4 separate regions of the Mus musculus genome follow, and regions 1, 2 and 4 are each reported to be linked to region 3. The links are microRNA targets in miRTarBase. Many come from high-throughput screens and were not tested one by one. Region 3 holds a microRNA gene; each other region holds the end of a gene's coding sequence.

Evidence for each region. The annotated mature microRNA mmu-miR-200c-3p reads UAAUACUGCCGGGUAAUGAUGGA and lies in region 3 at 2,603-2,625, opposite strand. An mRNA with a match to its seed (bases 2 to 7 or 8) in the 3' UTR can be bound and repressed. Matches are read on the target gene's strand: a 7mer-m8 pairs with bases 2 to 8, a 7mer-A1 pairs with bases 2 to 7 and ends in A, and an 8mer does both.
Region 1: the mRNA of Plxnc1 is a reported target of mmu-miR-200c-3p. Seed matches in the 3' UTR shown: 7mer-m8 at 3,344-3,350 and 7mer-A1 at 2,643-2,649.
Region 2: miRTarBase lists Cradd as a target of mmu-miR-200c-3p. Seed matches in the 3' UTR shown: 7mer-A1 at 2,793-2,799.
Region 4: miRTarBase lists Rnf166 as a target of mmu-miR-200c-3p. Seed matches in the 3' UTR shown: 7mer-m8 at 1,074-1,080.

The regions. Positions count from the first base shown.
Region 1 is chr10:94,789,555-94,793,554 of GRCm38, forward strand. It overlaps Plxnc1 (plexin C1), which reads right to left. Exons shown (of 31, transcript NM_018797.3): 31 at 1,312-3,736. The coding sequence ends at 3,632. Cep83 (centrosomal protein 83) reads left to right here. Exons shown (of 16, transcript NM_029852.2): 16 at 150-782. The coding sequence ends at 254. Among named protein-coding and RNA genes, the nearest start is that of Cep83, 100 kb to the left of the region's middle.
Region 2 is chr10:95,172,446-95,176,445 of GRCm38, forward strand. Cradd (CASP2 and RIPK1 domain containing adaptor with death domain) reads right to left here. Exons shown (of 3, transcript NM_001330138.1): 3 at 2,294-3,533. The coding sequence ends at 3,232. Among named protein-coding and RNA genes, the nearest start is that of Gm29684, 29 kb to the left of the region's middle.
Region 3 is chr6:124,715,722-124,719,869 of GRCm38, forward strand. It overlaps Mir200c (microRNA 200c), which reads right to left and starts at 2,669; the gene lies at 2,601-2,669. Phb2 (prohibitin 2) reads left to right here. Exons shown (of 10, transcript NM_007531.2): 8 at 233-309; 9 at 704-709; 10 at 885-1,224. The coding sequence ends at 912. It overlaps Mir141 (microRNA 141), which reads right to left and starts at 2,264; the gene lies at 2,193-2,264.
Region 4 is chr8:122,463,689-122,467,688 of GRCm38, reverse strand. It overlaps Rnf166 (ring finger protein 166), which reads left to right. Exons shown (of 6, transcript NM_001033142.3): 6 at 455-1,544. The coding sequence ends at 520. Among named protein-coding and RNA genes, the nearest start is that of Snai3, 5.0 kb to the right of the region's middle.

The DNA.
Region 1 (4,000 bases), not on the chromosome of region 3:
TAAGAGTGCAGTCTGAGGCAGGAGAGAAGAGCAACTAGTTTTTACATAGCTAACCTGGGTCATTTCTGTGCCACACTTTGGAGGCTTATGGAAGAGAGGCAGGGACGTTCCTAGTTTTTCTAGGTTTCTCTTAATGTGTCATTTTTAAGGAGGAACAACATCAAAGAGAGCTCTCTCTCCTTCGCAAAAGACTGGAAGAACTGGAGACTACACAAAGAAAACAACTGGAGGAGCTTGGGTCTCCTGGGGAGTGAAGCCTGAAGACAGGCAAAGCCAGAGACTCAATAAAAGTCTGACGGGTAACGTGTGGCACTGAGACGCCTTCTTCCTGTTTGCCAAAATCCATGAGCTGCCTCAAGAAAAGGTACTAGCAGCGCACTGCATGGGCTCCAAGATTTTAGGATTATACTAAGAAAATGAAAGTATTCATATATTTAGAACATGCATTGACAATCTTTTGACAATGCAAAAATAAAAGGAACTAGTTAGTTAAAAAAATCAAGTTTTCAAATTAATTTCTGTTTTGTTGATATTTTCTGGCATTTTGCTTGAAATATATCCACCCTGAAGTCCCTTTTCCTCATCTTTGAGATGCCTCCTTGGTAATGACAAAACCAATAAACATCTCCTTTATTATATATAAAAGTTTTGGAAAAGATAATCATTTATAAGTATAAAAACCACTTAAAAGTTTCTAAACATGTTTATTATAGAAATCTTTACCTTTTCTAAAAGCTGTGCACTTAATTTATTGAATAACTTAATAAATATTTTTGTATCTCTGCTGTTTGTGTTTAATTTTCCTGATCATAGAATATGTACTAAACAGTTGAGATGGCATCACTTCTGTGGCTTTGGTGAGTTTTAGAAAATGAAGTCCTGTGGCTGTAAAGAGTTGTTGGTCTTACTTGAAGCAGTGAGGTATTGAAGTACCGCTGACATTTAGTTTGGTTTCTCACTGTTAGGTAAGGATCAAATAATGATGTTTTATGTCCTTCTGTTTTCATTGTGCATCTTTGGAAGCTTCTTTATGTAATGTTTTAGAGGGATTCCACTGGAATAATTTCATGTCAGCAAACGGAAGCTTAAATTTATGTGGATTTGTCATTGTATAGACGTCTCAGCAGCCAAAAGTCAGGTTGCTCACTGAAGACAGGAATATAAGTGAGCAGCTCTTGGCGCCATTTAGCAAGGAGCTTGGTTTACTGAGCGGAGCTGCTTATTTATATGCAATGTACCGTGACATCTTGTTCCTGGAAAGTAATTTAGGTTAAGAAACCTATTAAAACTAGAAAAGACAAACAGTCCACATTTGTTACATCAAAATGTTTATTTTTGGATATAGACATTTAAAACATTCATCTCCAAGAACAACTTCAGTCAGGTATACAGTAAGAAATAGACTTTAAATCCTAATACAGAAAAGATAACAGAAGTAATTTTTAAGTGCTGCTTTAGACACTAGTGTTAGAAAAAAAAGTTTATAAATTAATTGTTTTGCACCAAAAATATGCAAAGAAACTTGAAACTAGATACTGTTTGTCATTTGCTTCTTTAGTTGTTGAATAGAGGCCCAGTGACTGATTGTCTTCAGCACACATCTAATTTGGACATTCTGTGCATTTGGCTAATGGGATCCAAAGTGTGATCTAGATAGTGCTTTCCACTGGAGGATTGACAAACACACTACATACATTAGTGAATCTTCACACCACCTCAGTGAGGTAGGTTAGAAATAGTATACAGAAATTGAGGCACAAAGAGGTAAGTGACTTGCCCAAAGTTCCTAACTCCTGAAAGAGGCGGTAAGGCTCACACAGGACTCATGTCAGAGAGCTGGACAGGGACCCCCTGGTGTAGCATTTGTAACACAGCTAAAGCTGTGGCTCAGCCTTTGCGTTTCTGTTCCCCAGAGAAGGGAAGGTTTGTTGGGCAATTCTCCTACCCTTGGCTCTCAAGTCTCCTCCAACTTTTCTCTTAGGAATGCCTTCACCTCTTTAAAGACGGTAGCAGCTTTAAATGGGGACCAGACCTCTCACCTTTCTACTTAGAAATAGACTATTTGGTAGTAGTTTTGAGATGTGTCCATTGGACAGACAGTAGTCACAAGAAACAAGATTGGGAGGGCGTCTGTCAGGGCAGCCACTGCACTGTTGAGGTGTCAGATAGTAAGGAAGAGAAAGGACTGCCATTTACCAGGACATTGCAGTCTAGATGGGCCAGGCAGTGCTGGTAAATGGTTTTGAGGAATGTGTGCTCAAGGTTTGATTGGCTGATTGAAAGAAAAGTCCTTCCTAAACTGGGGGTTTGGAACCCCAAGGGTAGGGGTGCCTGCCACAAGGTAAGTGAGAGGGCCGTCAGGTGACACTTTTTACTTCTGTTTAATAGAAGGAAAGCACAGTGGTATTAAAATTGGTCACGAGCAGCAAAAATTTGGGAATAAAAAAATCAGCAATAAAAAAGACTACAGTATAACTTGATAGGAAATTCTTTGAAAAAAAAAAAAAGAGGCACGAATAAAATGAGTATTTTTAAATCTTTCTCCTGTAAGGAATACTTTCAAAAAGTACATAGTAAGACTAAGATACCAAGTTGTACTAATATTTTCCAGGCCTTGGGCCTCAAATATATATATTTATATATAATACTCCAATGTGAACAACAATTTGATGAAATGTAAAATGTATCTTTTATTTTAATCACACACAAGTATTTATAACCACAGGGTTCACCAGAAATCTAAAGCAAGGAGACACTAGCATAGAAATGTAAGATTACAGGAGTGACTTACACATCCACAGACAGTTCTGATCAAACAGAAGTAAAGTCATGAACTCTTTTTCTTACAATACCCAACATGTCCACTACCAGATACATGAAAAGATAAAAAAGAGACACACCGTAGGACAGAGTCTGGGAAAACTGCTGTTGCATTTCAGTGAGACCCACCCACTCTCCTTGCTTTAGAGCTGCGTTGATGAGATGGAGGTGGGCTGAGGAGCCCGGCTGGCAACCACTGAAAAACACGAGCCCTTTCAACAATGTTGCAACACTGTTAGTTTTTGGTTTAAACACACACACTCACGAATGCTAAGTGTACACACTACCAAATTCTGCCTTCAGCCTTTCCAAGAACTACTGGGGAAAGAGGAGGAATGCCGCAGACCCTCAGGGTTGCCCTAACACCCCCTCCGGGTTTCCAAAGGACTCCTTCCACACTCTGAGCTTTGTTAGTATCCCCTTTCTTCTGCAGAAGTACAGTGTAGTCACAAGTACTACATAGCTGTAGTTTTCCAACAAAACCACTTAGATATCATTGTGCTTAAGTGGAGACTGTAGTTACAATACTGACACTTGCTTACTGGCCCTGTATTCTCTGTAAACAAGGAGGCTGTTTGCAACAACCACTTCAGCTCTATTTACAGAAAGGTTCCCACGATATACCCACAGGCACAGTGGTTGATAACGCTTTCTAAAAGCTGTGCATGTGCCTTGGTCTCCTAAAGGACAGTGCTCGAAGTGGAACCCATGTGCAAACTTAAGAAATTAACGACAAAGAGTAGCTCAAGCAGCCAGTTTGCTCCCAAGCTGTCTGAAGAACTTTGTCAAATAAAGCCAGGCCCCAGGGTGCTTACATCCACTTGCATTTCTTCTTTTCATCAAATAAGACTTTTACATGCAAGAGTTGTTTCTGAGCTTCTTCCAGCCCTCGTTCTCTTTCTAGTTTATTTAGAATCTGTTGACAATTAGAACAGTTATTTTACATATTAGAGTTTTAGCAGTACAATTCACAATTCTGGTGGGCTTGCTCTTTCTCTCTCTTTTCTTTTTTGCATTCCTGATGCTGTGAGTGGTAAAAATCTGTATGAAACAGATGCCAGCAGTTTCTTCGATCATTTCCATACTCACTTTGCAAGTTGTTTTGCTAAGTCATTATCACAGGATCAACAACACTTGGGCTTGAAATAGAAGCCCGAAAGAAATACCATCTATTTGCTTA
Region 2 (4,000 bases), not on the chromosome of region 3:
GAATCTGCTTTTTCTTTCTGAGCATTCAAACCTGGATTTCATAGCTGATGCTTTGAATGAACAATAGCTATCAGAATCACTACCATATGTTTCTCGTGAGCTTAACAAAGCAGAGACAAGGTTTAATTGGCTCACTGAACTGTGTCTTTGAGAGACTTTAATTTTCCTATAAGAACAGTAAGTGCCAACAAGACAGACGTCCCTGTTCCTCTCAGATGTTTATAGTTCAGGGAAGTAAACAAGACATTATATTAAAAACATTCCCTGTATGCTGCAACATCTATTTTGAATTTGTACAAGTGTTGGGGTGGGGGAGAGAGGGGTGCTATAAAAAGCACCCTCAAATATGCCTGATACCTAAATCCTTGAAGCCTGATCCTGATTTTACTGTGGCTGAACACTCCACTGCTATAAAGAAGTATGGAACAGGATGGTATTTGTCAATGTGTTTAGTTTCTAATGGCTCCGAGATAGCATTTTGGAGGCATATGCATCTTGTAGACATTTGGAAGGAGTGCCATTTGTCAAGCTGGATGAAGAAGACATTAAATGGAATTCTGGTGTCTCCTAATATCCCCTAAGGGGGGGGCTATCACGCTAACTTGGGCAGGGCTTACAAGAGCTCAGCCGAAGTGTCATCTCCTCTGTGGCCAACTTAATTGCTCCCTTTTCTGTGAAGTGTCAGAGTTGCCTGGCTGTTATGGCTGCCTTCCTGGAGGGCCGAGATCCTGCTGGGCAGAGACTGTGTCTTATTTATCTTCGGATCTCCAGTAACTTGGGTGTTTTGTAACCAGCAAGAATTTGTGCCCCAACTGTAGGGATTCATTTAATGAGAGCTAAGTGTTAGATCAGAGTCCCACCCAGGTTCTGGACATGCTCTGCCGTGTGCTGCCAGTTCATTTTTCCTTACCCTGAGTCCCTAGGGATGCCCAGAAGAGCTGCACACTCTCAGCTGCTGTACAAGCCCCAGAAGGATGAGGGACCTCAGCCTAACATTTTGAGGGACCCTGGCTTGATAAAGAATATTAGGGAAAACAAAACAAAACAAAACAAAACAAAACTCAGTAGCCAAAATAATTCAGCTCAGACATTTCCTTGTCCAAACCCACTGTATGAACAATTTATCTTTTTTACCTCTGGCAGATCCTCTGCACTCATAGACCAGTTAGTGTGCATACGTGAATAAACCTGCCCAAGAAGGTGGAGTGATTTACCTGAGTGACGGAGCCTTCTTTTTCTTCAGGCCCCCCATCCCCTCAAAAGCAAACCAGAGGGGGTCCTTTTGCTCTGTTCCCACTGGCTCAGTACTCAGGAGTGGAATTGTCACATCATGTTGTGATTAGAGGTCTGTGGCTGTCTCATGTGGCAGTGAGCTCCAGAGAGTAGGGCTTGTGTCTTTGTTGGTCGGCTTTAATGTCCTCAATTAACAGAGATGAGATTAGCCTCTCAGCCGCATTAGCTTTTCCGGAAAGATCTGAGCAAATGTCTGTGTGCCTCAGAGAGGGCTTCTGAAGATGACAGACCAAAGAAACCACTCCACCCAAATCTGGACTGGTACAAGAATGAGTTTTACTAGGACTACTTGTGAGGACAATGGTGAGAAGTCACAGGGACACTTACAGGTGACAACTATACTGCCAGTCTCTCCCTCCGGCAACTGTCAATTGCGCATACACCCTCAGGAAGCAGAGGGGCTGTGTGCAACTTCTGTGTTGACTGTCCCTCCCCTAACATTCTCTTGAAGAAAAGAAACACAGCGGTAATTAGATGTAGTACAGTGGAGAGGACATCTTGGGGCAAGGGACAAAACTCAGAATGCAGACATGCTAAGCTTTGTGAGGATGCAAGGTGCACAGTGCAGGCAGTGAACAATAGTTTGCTCGGATTGGTTCTGGGTGGGGTGGGGTTATGGGTGTGTCAAGCAAGAACTGCAATGCCAGCGAACTTCTTGATGGGGAAAGCAGTTGGTAGACTTAGAAGCTGAGTGCCTTCAATCTCTTTAAAGGTGCTGCCAAAACGATAGCTCTTGCAAGTGTGCTCTAAGAGCAAAGGATGTTGTAAAGGCCTTTGGCATTGGAACAAGTGCTATGTGTTAAGGCAAGGAAGCCAAGTGTTAAAGAGCCTTACAGGGCAATCCTGCTCCAGCTGCAGAAGGGATGTGCGGGCGGGCTTAACTAAGAAACTGACGGCAGAGCAGAGCAAAGCTGACTGACTGCGGGGAGTACAAGGAGACTCTTGCTTCTCCTCATCTTATCTATTGTTAGGTTTTTGAAAGGACACAATGGACACGCACTTTATTTGCACTGAGAGAATTTAATAGAAGTTACACATTTTAAAATGTTGAAAGAAGCAGTCATGTACAGGTGATCCTCCTGCTTCAGTCTCTTAGATGGGATGACAAACACGTACACCTGTCTGGCTAACACTATGTGCAGTTAATGAAAGGCTGGACAACCCATGACGCCCCTCGGGAACTCACCGCCTTCAGCCATTCAGGCCTCAAGAGAAACACTGAGCCCTCTTGTCTCTGATCCAATGCCTTTAACAAATGGACAGAGACTCCTCATACAATTTGTTAAGATGAAGGTCTTCCGTTCTCTCCCTGGCCTCTGCAGGGAGCTTCGGTGTCTCATGCTTAATCTATACATCCTGCCTGAGTTATTTATCTCCGTCGTCACATGACTGCTATCAATCTTGCTCCACTCCCATATTTTTACACCCTCCGTCTATGCAACAGAAGAGTGGTGTGTGTGTGTGTATGTGTGTGTGTGTGTGTGTGTGTGTGTGTGATATAATACTCTCTCATTGAAAGAGGCACATTCTATATCACAATTTGCTTTTTTATTATCATCACCATTATGAAGAGCTAAATGCACAATCCAGTCTCCAGGCAACACAAGTGTAGCTGCCTTGTATGCAGGACACCTGCATTCGATGCTGTAGCATGATTTTTTGGGGGGTTGGGTAGGGTGGGTGTTGTGTTTTTTCTGGCCTCCTGTTAAAGGCCAGCCACAAAGTTCCAAACCATAGTTACAACAGCGCAGTCTTCAAGCAATTAAAGCCAATCGATGGTTGAGTGAGTGGTGGACGATCTCTTTCCGTAAACAGATCACTGAAAAGCCCAGAACAAAGCCACCTGCTGAGAAAAGTCCGGTTCAGCCAGTGTGACTTGGGAACCCACGCCCCACCACCCCCACAGCAAGTGGGGGGGGGGCGCGGGGGGGGGTCAGGTCACTCCAGCATGTGCTGGAGCAGGGAGGGATCAGCCTCCACTGCCTGGAGGCCCTTGTGTAAGCTTAGGAAGGTGGCCTGCTTCCCAAAACGCTGGCGCCAGCGGACAAAGGCCTCCACCACCTGCGAATGCACGTTGTGGGGATGGTTGGCCTTGCAGCGGTAGATGTCGGTCTGGGACAGTCCCAGAGACAGGACCACGGGCTCCCACTCCGGGCCTAGCCTCTGAGCCAGCTGGTTAATCTGCTGGTCTGATGGCGAGCTGCTGAGGATGTGTGAGGGGATTCCGGCCATCCAGTCACCTGAGGAGGAAAAGAACAGGAAATTGAATAAAGCAAGCACCTCATATAGGGAAGACTTGAGAATGGGGCGGGGCAGATAGGCGACTATTTCCGGTCTTTTTGTACTGCTCAGTTTCGTGGGCTGAACCGTGCGTGCCGCTGAAACCGCCCCCCCCTTCAGTTTTTTTTTTTTAATTAAATGTTTTCTTCATTTACATTTCAAATGCTATCCCCTTTCCTAGTTTCCTCTCCGAAAATCCCCTATCCCCTACTCCCTACCCCTGCTCCCCAACCCACCCACTCCTGCTTCCTGGCCCTGGCATTCCTCTATACTGGGGCATAGAATCTTCACAAGACCAAGGGCCTCTCCTCCCTTTGATGACCAACTAGGCCATCCGCTTAGCATCTCTTAAAAGTGTTCACTGCAGAAGATCTAAGAAGAAAAATCCATGGATAGTTGCTTAATTCTGCCTCCTTGTGTATATAGA
Region 3 (4,148 bases):
CTTGAGTTTCTACTTAAACAATGTCTTTGGGCACCCTTCCTCCTGCAGAGTGACCGACCCCACAGTGCTCCCCGGGTTTTGTTTATGGCTGTTACAGAGCTATGACACTAAGCCTTCTTGCATCGGGTCTTTGTACTAGAGCAGGAGCCTGTTCTGTTACTGTGTCTTCCACTGGGTGGCCATTGAATCAAAGACTTGAAGCCTGTTAACACGTCTGTTCCATGTCCTGTAGATCGCCACATCACAGAACCGAATCTATCTCACAGCTGACAACCTTGTGCTGAATCTACAGGATGAAAGTTTTACTCGGTAAGAGATCCCACTGTCCAGAGAGCAAAGCACCCGTCCACTACCCTGGATCCTGGACTATCTAGTTACCAGGGCCGTGGACAGTTTCTCTGAACACCAGTCAGAAAAGTGGGTGTCAGTCTGGTTGGCAGTTCCTATCTTGCATCTTCTAGGACTGACTTTATAAAGCAAAGCAGGATGTCTTATGGGAAAGGCACTTTATAAATATCTAAATGAGAAGTGACGACTGGTAGCAATTTCACGTGAGACCCACGTTGCTGGGACCGCACAGATAGTGGCAAAGAGCCGTCCTCACTGGGGAGTGCGGGTCTGGAGCAGCTGAGCCTGTAGCTGACTAACGATTTATTTCTCTTTTCACATATTTCCTGCTCACTTCATGGCATGCTGGTTGCAGGGGAAGGTAAGTGGCTGCCTCCTTGCTATGGGGTCCTGGGGGCCATCTGCTTCCTGGACCTGCCCCTACACCCCCTTTCTCCCCATTGTCAGGCCTTTATTTAGGAAGAAGCTGTGGTTTGGGGTGTTGTGCACCTCACACTTACATCCCCGATAATAGGAATGTTCCCTTTGTTCTCCAGTGACAGCCTCATTAAGGGTAAGAAATGAGTGTGGACATCAAGAACCCCACCACCAGAGAAGTTGGCACACTTGTCCAGCTTGGAGGAGCCAGCTCGGGGGTCAAGCACAGCCCACCCTGCCCCAGGCATCATGTGATGGACTTTTCTGTATCTGCCCTCTTGGATTAAGGAAGACTGAGACCAGCCCTTTCAGAGGCTTTCCTCCTTCCTGTGTTGGCTGGGAAGCGGGGTGGGACAATGTGATTTCTCCGTGATTTCCTACAGCCTTGAGCCTCTCCCAGAGTGGGGGAGATAACCACCATGCCAGGAATTCTCAATAAAATTTTTATTACTTAAAGCCAAAAATTTTGTGTCTGAGTGTGTACGTAGATTGCGCGAAGACATTGATCACACTGGGACTCGGCCAGCAGAGGGCACAAGCAGTCTGGCCTGTAGCATTCGGACTGCCGCCGGGTCCTCAACAGGACCTAAGCTGGGAGCAGCCGATCTCAGGCCCAACTACACCTTCACCCCACCCGCAGGTCTACCAAATGAACCCACAGACTTAATGACATCTTTTTAAAAGCTGAAGCAGCTGAGGCTTTGCTGAGCCAAACTAAAAACGTGATGACCCCAGGGGGAGCTGCTTCCTTGGTAACCAGCTCCTGGTTAGCTCCGGGAGATGGCGTGTTCCTCCCAAGGGTTTCCGTGTTCCTAAGTCCCGGTGTGCTGTTACTTAGTCACCAGGTACGATGAGCTATTTGCACTGAAGTTTCTCCCTGTGGAGGAGGCCTTCCCACCCCCACAGCCCGGGAGCCCAACTGAACCTATTTTCCACAGACTACCTTTCTTACGAAGACCGAGTCTCCAGTACTGGGGAAATCAAGCCATTGCTCACGGACTTCGCTAGAACCGTTGCCTTGGTTTTTTCCTTCTGGGCAGACAAGAATACAATAGAGGAAGGGTGAGCCTGACTGGGCGAGAGGGTGCAGCAGAGCTTCAGCTCCTTGGGTTCTTAGAGGAAGTAGGTCTCTCCTGAAGCCTAAGACAGACCACCGAATGGACCGGAATCGTATCCCACGTTCCCCATGGACATTCAGGTTCCCAGGGTGAAAAGACAACGGAAGCCAGCGTCTTGGGACCAAATGTGTTTCCAAATCTTGCTGCTGTTCTGAAGGCAGCCATTTTGTCTCTTTCCCATTGTTCCCCTTTGCCAAGTGATACACACACACACACACCCATCCAGAAGGTTAAAGGTCAGAGGCTGTTGGCCTGGAGGCCTAGGTGGTCTTCAAGGCTCCAAGGTCACTGCTGAAGGAACTGACCCGGGGGCCATCTTTACCAGACAGTGTTAGGAGCTTCATACTTCAACCATCCAACACTGCACTGGAAGATGGACCCAGAGCCAGCCAATATAAATTGATCTACCGCTGATCAAGCGCTAGAGGGAAGCCGCTGCTGGCTGGCTGACTGTGGCCTCTTGTGTGCGCGTAGACAATCCCAAGGCCAAGGTCTGCTTCTAGTAGGTTCTGGATCTACCAGATGACAAATCACACTGGATTGGAGGAGGGGCTGGGGCCATTGTGTTCTTCCAGTGGGCAACCAGCCAACCCGAGAGCCACCCTTAACTCGGAAGAAGGGGCTTCCAGGTTATGTGTGGGAGGAATGGGTTGCTGCCAGATAAAAGTGCCTAAAGCGATGGACGCGCAATGGACGCCGATGACACTGGGACAGGGGCCTCCATCATTACCCGGCAGTATTAGAGACTCCCAACCAGCACCCAAACACTGCTGGGTAAGACGAGGGCCCCTACCCAACCAGTCCACCTTCAAGATCAGCCCTGGCTAAGCCCAAGCCCCTCAAGAGAAGCGGCAGATCTCCTGCTCCCATCCCCCACCTCCGCGTCATTTGGGACACTTCCGGGAGAGCCTGGCTGCTCCCCACCAGGCCTACCCTGACTTGCCCATCACTGAGGCCAAAACCAGCTTTCTGTAGCCTCTACTATCCACCTGCGAGCCAGTCCCCCCCCCCCCATTCCACGGCCTGTCCCTGCCCTCCAACACACCCATTTACTGCGTTCTACCGTCGCTAGCGCAGCCCCAGGACCCCCCTGATCGGTGGCCTTTACCTGGCACCAGACCCGCCTGACCCCTAGAGTGGTGCAGAAGAAAGAAAGGTGTACCAACGGCCCGGATTCAGCCGCCTAGAGCCGACTTGGCCTCCACTCTCGCTCTTCCTCCTTCACCTGCCGGGCAGCACAGGCGCCTCACCTGGGCCCCGCCCGCCTCTGCCCTGCGCACAGGTGTGTCCTCCTGCCATAGGCTGCCCCCCTCTCCGCCTTAACCCCTTCCCTCCCAGCACCAGCCCTGGGCACCTCCTCTTGAGGCCTGGCCACCCCGCCAGGCCTCCCGCCCTTTCTGGCCGCCTTTCTTCTTCTACCTTGTACTTTCCCTGTTTCTAAAGGAATAAAGAAAGAGGCCATCTTTGGATCCCCTTCCAGCGGCTCCTTCCTCCCAAGCTAAAACACCCTCTTCTCTGAGGCCTCTCCAACCCTGCTCTCAGCCAGAGTCAGAGGACCAGCCCTGAGGTCAGTGTGGGGTCAGCTAGGCAGGCATTGGTCTGTGTCCCTGTCCAGGGCTCAGACAGGGCCGGGCAACAACCCCTTGAGAACTGGGAAGGGAGGAAGCCCCAACAGACCTGTGGATCGCCAAGCATTGCGCCGGATCTTTGGTTTTACCCTGAGATGGCAGTGTCTGCCTGGGCCCAAAGGCCTCCCTTCCCGAAACTCCTAGCCCTACTGCAGCTAAACCAGGAGAGACGGTCCTTGCAACCCACCTCTGATCTGCAGAGCCCTTTTCTCAGTTGGCCCTCAAAGAATTAGTCCGGGGCAGTTAAAGGACTAGATCCTGTCTTTCTTCTGTGTGGTTCTGTGTTGCTGGGAGAGGGGCCCTGCAGGCACACAGGTGATGGCCCCACCCACGCACCCCCTGGAGGGCCATAGCTCCAGGGAGCTATCATGTTCCTCAGTCCCAAAGCTGTCCCTTTCTTCCTCCTCTTTGTTCTCTATACTTTTCCCTTGTAATTTGTGTGTGTGTGTGTGTGTGTGTGTGTGTGTGTGTGTGTGTGTGTGTGGACTAATTCTGGCCTGGTCTCCCAGACAGCTCCCAGAGTCCTAGTAAGATAAGCTTATCACCCTCAACTGCTCTCAGCATATGACCCTTAACACACTGGGCGTTATAACTAACGGGCTAATCAATGTGCTACCCTTGGCCTTTCCCATGGTGG
Region 4 (4,000 bases), not on the chromosome of region 3:
TCTAGCCACGTAGGGTTGGCTTGCTTTTTCCTGGTCCCCAAGGTTGGAGATCTCATGGCCTTGACAACTTCCATCTAAGAAAACCCAGTTCTTGTCCAAGAACAGTGGGTTAAAGGCTCCTACTGCCTGCCAAGCTTGACAACTTGAGTTCAATCCCTGGTACCCATGTGACAAATGAGAAAGTCCTCTGTCCTGCCCACACTATGGCACACACATGTCTGTACATATACACACCAAAAACTAAGCTGTAGAAGAAAGATTCTTACCATCTGAAACCCGCGCCTCATGATCACAAACCTGCAGAGCACTGGTATGCACACGATCCAAGGCTACCTTTGGGGACACATGTAAGAACTGGGGCAGGCATTCTGTGAAGGAGGCTTGGGACACACTGTGACAGTGGGTGTTTGGGAGCCATCCTGCTCCTCCCTCATGCATCTCTGCTTTTCCCCAGGACTACAGCATCGACGAAGAAGCTGCCTTCCAGGCTGCCCTGGCTCTGTCCCTCTCTGAGAACTGAGGCACAGCCTGGCCACCCGCCTCTTATGGGGCAGAAGACACACTCCCGCTTTAAGGGATAGGGCTGTTGCCCTTCTGCCCTGGCACCTGCACAGGAGTGCGCCTCACCAGGCCAAGTGGAATGTTACACAAGGAGAGTTGGTCTCAGAATCCCCAGGCTGGGATCCTGGCTAGCTGGCCCCTTGTCATCAAGCAGGACCACCAGGTCCTGGCCAGCAGCACTGGGCCCTCGGTGCTTCAAGGGGCAAGTGCTGGCCATTGGGTCAGAGCAGGTGGCTGCCTTTCCCAGACTTGGTGTCTGTGTGTGGAGAAGGATGAGGTGCCCTAAGCTGTGCCCAGCAGGGCCAGGGGAAGAGGTGCCCAGCCAAGGCTGCCAGCCCACCCGGTCGGTCCCTAGCTTCGCTTCCACCGTGAGCATTTGGTACTGGCTTTTGTGATATTTAGGAACCCTGCGTTTTTCTATCTTATCCTGTGTGATAATCTTTTCATGTTTTCTAGAGCAAAGACAAAGCAGTTACTCTTCTATCGCAATACCCAGGTTTGACTAGGAAGAGCAGTATTTTTATGGAGCATTTACAAAGTTATATTTTTAAAAAAAAAAATCAAAAACATGTGGGATGAGTGTAGAGGGAGGAGCGTGGGTGTGGCCAGGGCTTTGTCTGTGTGACAGGTGGCGTCCCCAAGCCATGTGATCTCTGAGGAGGTGGCTCCTGTCTGGTGCTTTCTCTTGATGACCCAGAAGAAACCCTAGCACCGGCGGGCCACTTGCTGTGGCTGCTCCCAGCAGATGTAGGACAGCCCAGACAGAATGGAGTCCTTCTGCCCTGCCCTGTCACCTTCCAGAGCCAACCGCATCCCTCCTCAGGCAGGGACTTCCCTTACCAGTGGTAGAGCCCTCAAGGGCCAGAGAGACCTGCTTGGTGGCAGGTCAGGCAAGAAAACATTTGTCAGCATCTTATTCTGTTCATGGCATAAATTGCTGTCTTTTCAAAAGAGTTTTAAATAAAGTGTTTCCAAGCACCCACGCGAGCCTTGGTCCTGGGTTTTACTGCACCAGTGTCTGTAGGTCAGGGCTGCCAGGGTCCACAGCTCCACCTTGTCTCAGGTGCTTTCTCCCTGGTGACTCTACTGCCACGTGCCCTTGGTGACCTTTTCCCTGGGCTCTGGGTAGCCTGCCGTGCTGGGGACATTGGTACTAGTTGCTTCTCCCCATCTCTGGCTCCAGTTTCTCACTCTTCAGGCTGAATCCTGGATCTTATGAGGTGGGCCAGCTGCCGTGACTCCCCCAGGGCCCACCTCCTGGACACAGGGCCGTCGTCTAGCTCACTGAGGGTTCTAATAATCGAAGAGAGCTGGGCATGGCGGTTAAGCAGGGGATACCGCACTCAGGAGGCTGAGGCTGTATTGCTCCGAGTTCAAGGCCAGCCTGTGCTACATGGCCAGCTCCAGGAGGTCAGCAAGGACTGCACATAAGACCTCAGAACACAATAAAAAGCTCAAGAGACCCTCAGCAGCCAGGTTCACGAGAGCAGATGTACAGGCATGTCTGCCCAGAGGGACTCCTTACTGTCCCACTTTGTTCATAGGTGGCGCCCATGAACAGGCAGGTCTCTGTTGTTCCACTTAACACTTATGTGGGGTTGGGGGCCCTTGCGGGCAATGTCAGGTTCCAGACCAGCAGTGCCACAGCAAGACCACCCTCTTCTACTAGTTATTGTCATTGAGTGTCAACTACATCTGAGAGGCCTCAGAGCAGGGCTAGCTTGTGCTCGTCCCTGGCTGCCAGCTAAGCCTACCACTTGTTGGGCAGTCACTCACTGTCCTGAGCTAAAGTGGTGCTCATACAGGCCCAGGACTGACCACAGTGACACAGGCATGGCACTCAGAGGGCACGATCCCTGGGTGACCAGGAAACTCAGTCCCAGCTCCAAGCCAGTCCCAGCAGGCCCTGACCTCGGGAGCAGCCCTGACCTCAGCAACAGCCCTGCACGTGGCTTGTTTCCTGAGTTCTCTGTGCTGCATCTGTGGAGGCCACGGGGTAAGCCCAGTCTCTGAGGATCCTCAAAACTGCAGGGTCTGCAAACCCGTGGGGGTTGGGGAAAGCGAAGAAGGAATGGAAGATGGGGAAGCCGTTAGTCCACTGTGGTCACACTGCACATCTAATCAAGAGGCACAGGGCAGCCTGCTCTCCTGGCTGTGCTCTGCTTCCTAGACAGCACAGGCAGTAATAGATCTGCGAACTCACCAGTTAAGTGTGGACTCATTAGCCCTTGTACACTGGGTATCTGGCCTCATCCCTCAAGAGGCCTGGGGAAGGGGGAGAGTATAGCTGTCTTTGGTCCTTTGTTGGAGATTCTTTTCCCACCCTTTATTTCCCCCACCCTGCCCTAGTTTCACCCCCTAACACTAGACAGAAGAGAAACAAGGATAGAGGGAAAAGAGATACCTGAATCTGATTTCTTTCCTTTTGTTTCTTCTTTGAGCACAACTACTAACAAACTTCAACCAACCATCAACTCTGCCTCTTTCAGGCCCTAGCATTTATAGACCCAGAATTCACACAGTTGCAGAAACTCTCTGCAGCTGGCAAAACCACACATCTGTCAGAGCACGAGGCAGATCACAATCAGCTGCTGTGGGCAGCCTGAAGCCGCCCCACATCGCACACCTGGGATTAAAACAAAAGCACATTCAGACGATATTTCTGTGTTTATTTTAAAAGAAATCAAAAGCCCACAGCTGCCACTACAGGAGAGGAAGAGCCACACCCTGCTGCTGACGGGAGCTGAAGCAAGGGGGCAACAAGGGACCCCTTTCCTGTGTCCCACGTGACTAGCTACTATCCTCTTCTGTACTGGGTTCCCACTTCCTGCCCCAGGCAAAGCAGTCCCAGAGTGGAGAGAGGGAAACAAGAGGAGAGATGTCTTCTTACCATTCTCCCACACCTTCCTAAGTGTGCACTCTCTTCAGAGCATTCCACCTCAGGGAGACAAGTAGCTGAGATCTGCCAAATTAATACGTGGCCCCTAAGAGCAGGGGTCATGACCTTTCTTGAGAGTATTACACACAAACCTATTGCCACATAGTCACTTGCCAGAGGGGGGAGGGGACAGTCTCCCCAGGCAGAGAGCAAAGCAGCACCGTGTCTACAATCGGGTGGTTCCTGCCTAAGATGTGTCTCACCCTCTCTAGGCTGAAAGTTCAGTTAGCTAAGGACTATTCTTCCACCTTGGACTATTCTAGCAGTATCAGGAAGTCACCTAGGACTCCCCTGTGACTCTCCCGCCCACTCAGCCATCCTCTCCAACTCATGCTGCTGTGCCCTATGGCATCTAGGGTGTCAGAAACCTGGGCTGGCAGCAACATGCCTGTAGTTTCAAGTTATGCAACAGCACCGGAAGCTAGCACCCTGCTTCCTAGAAAGCAAACACCCTTGTCACACATTCCTGGACTTTCCTCTTAGGAAAGGGTCGTGTGGTCA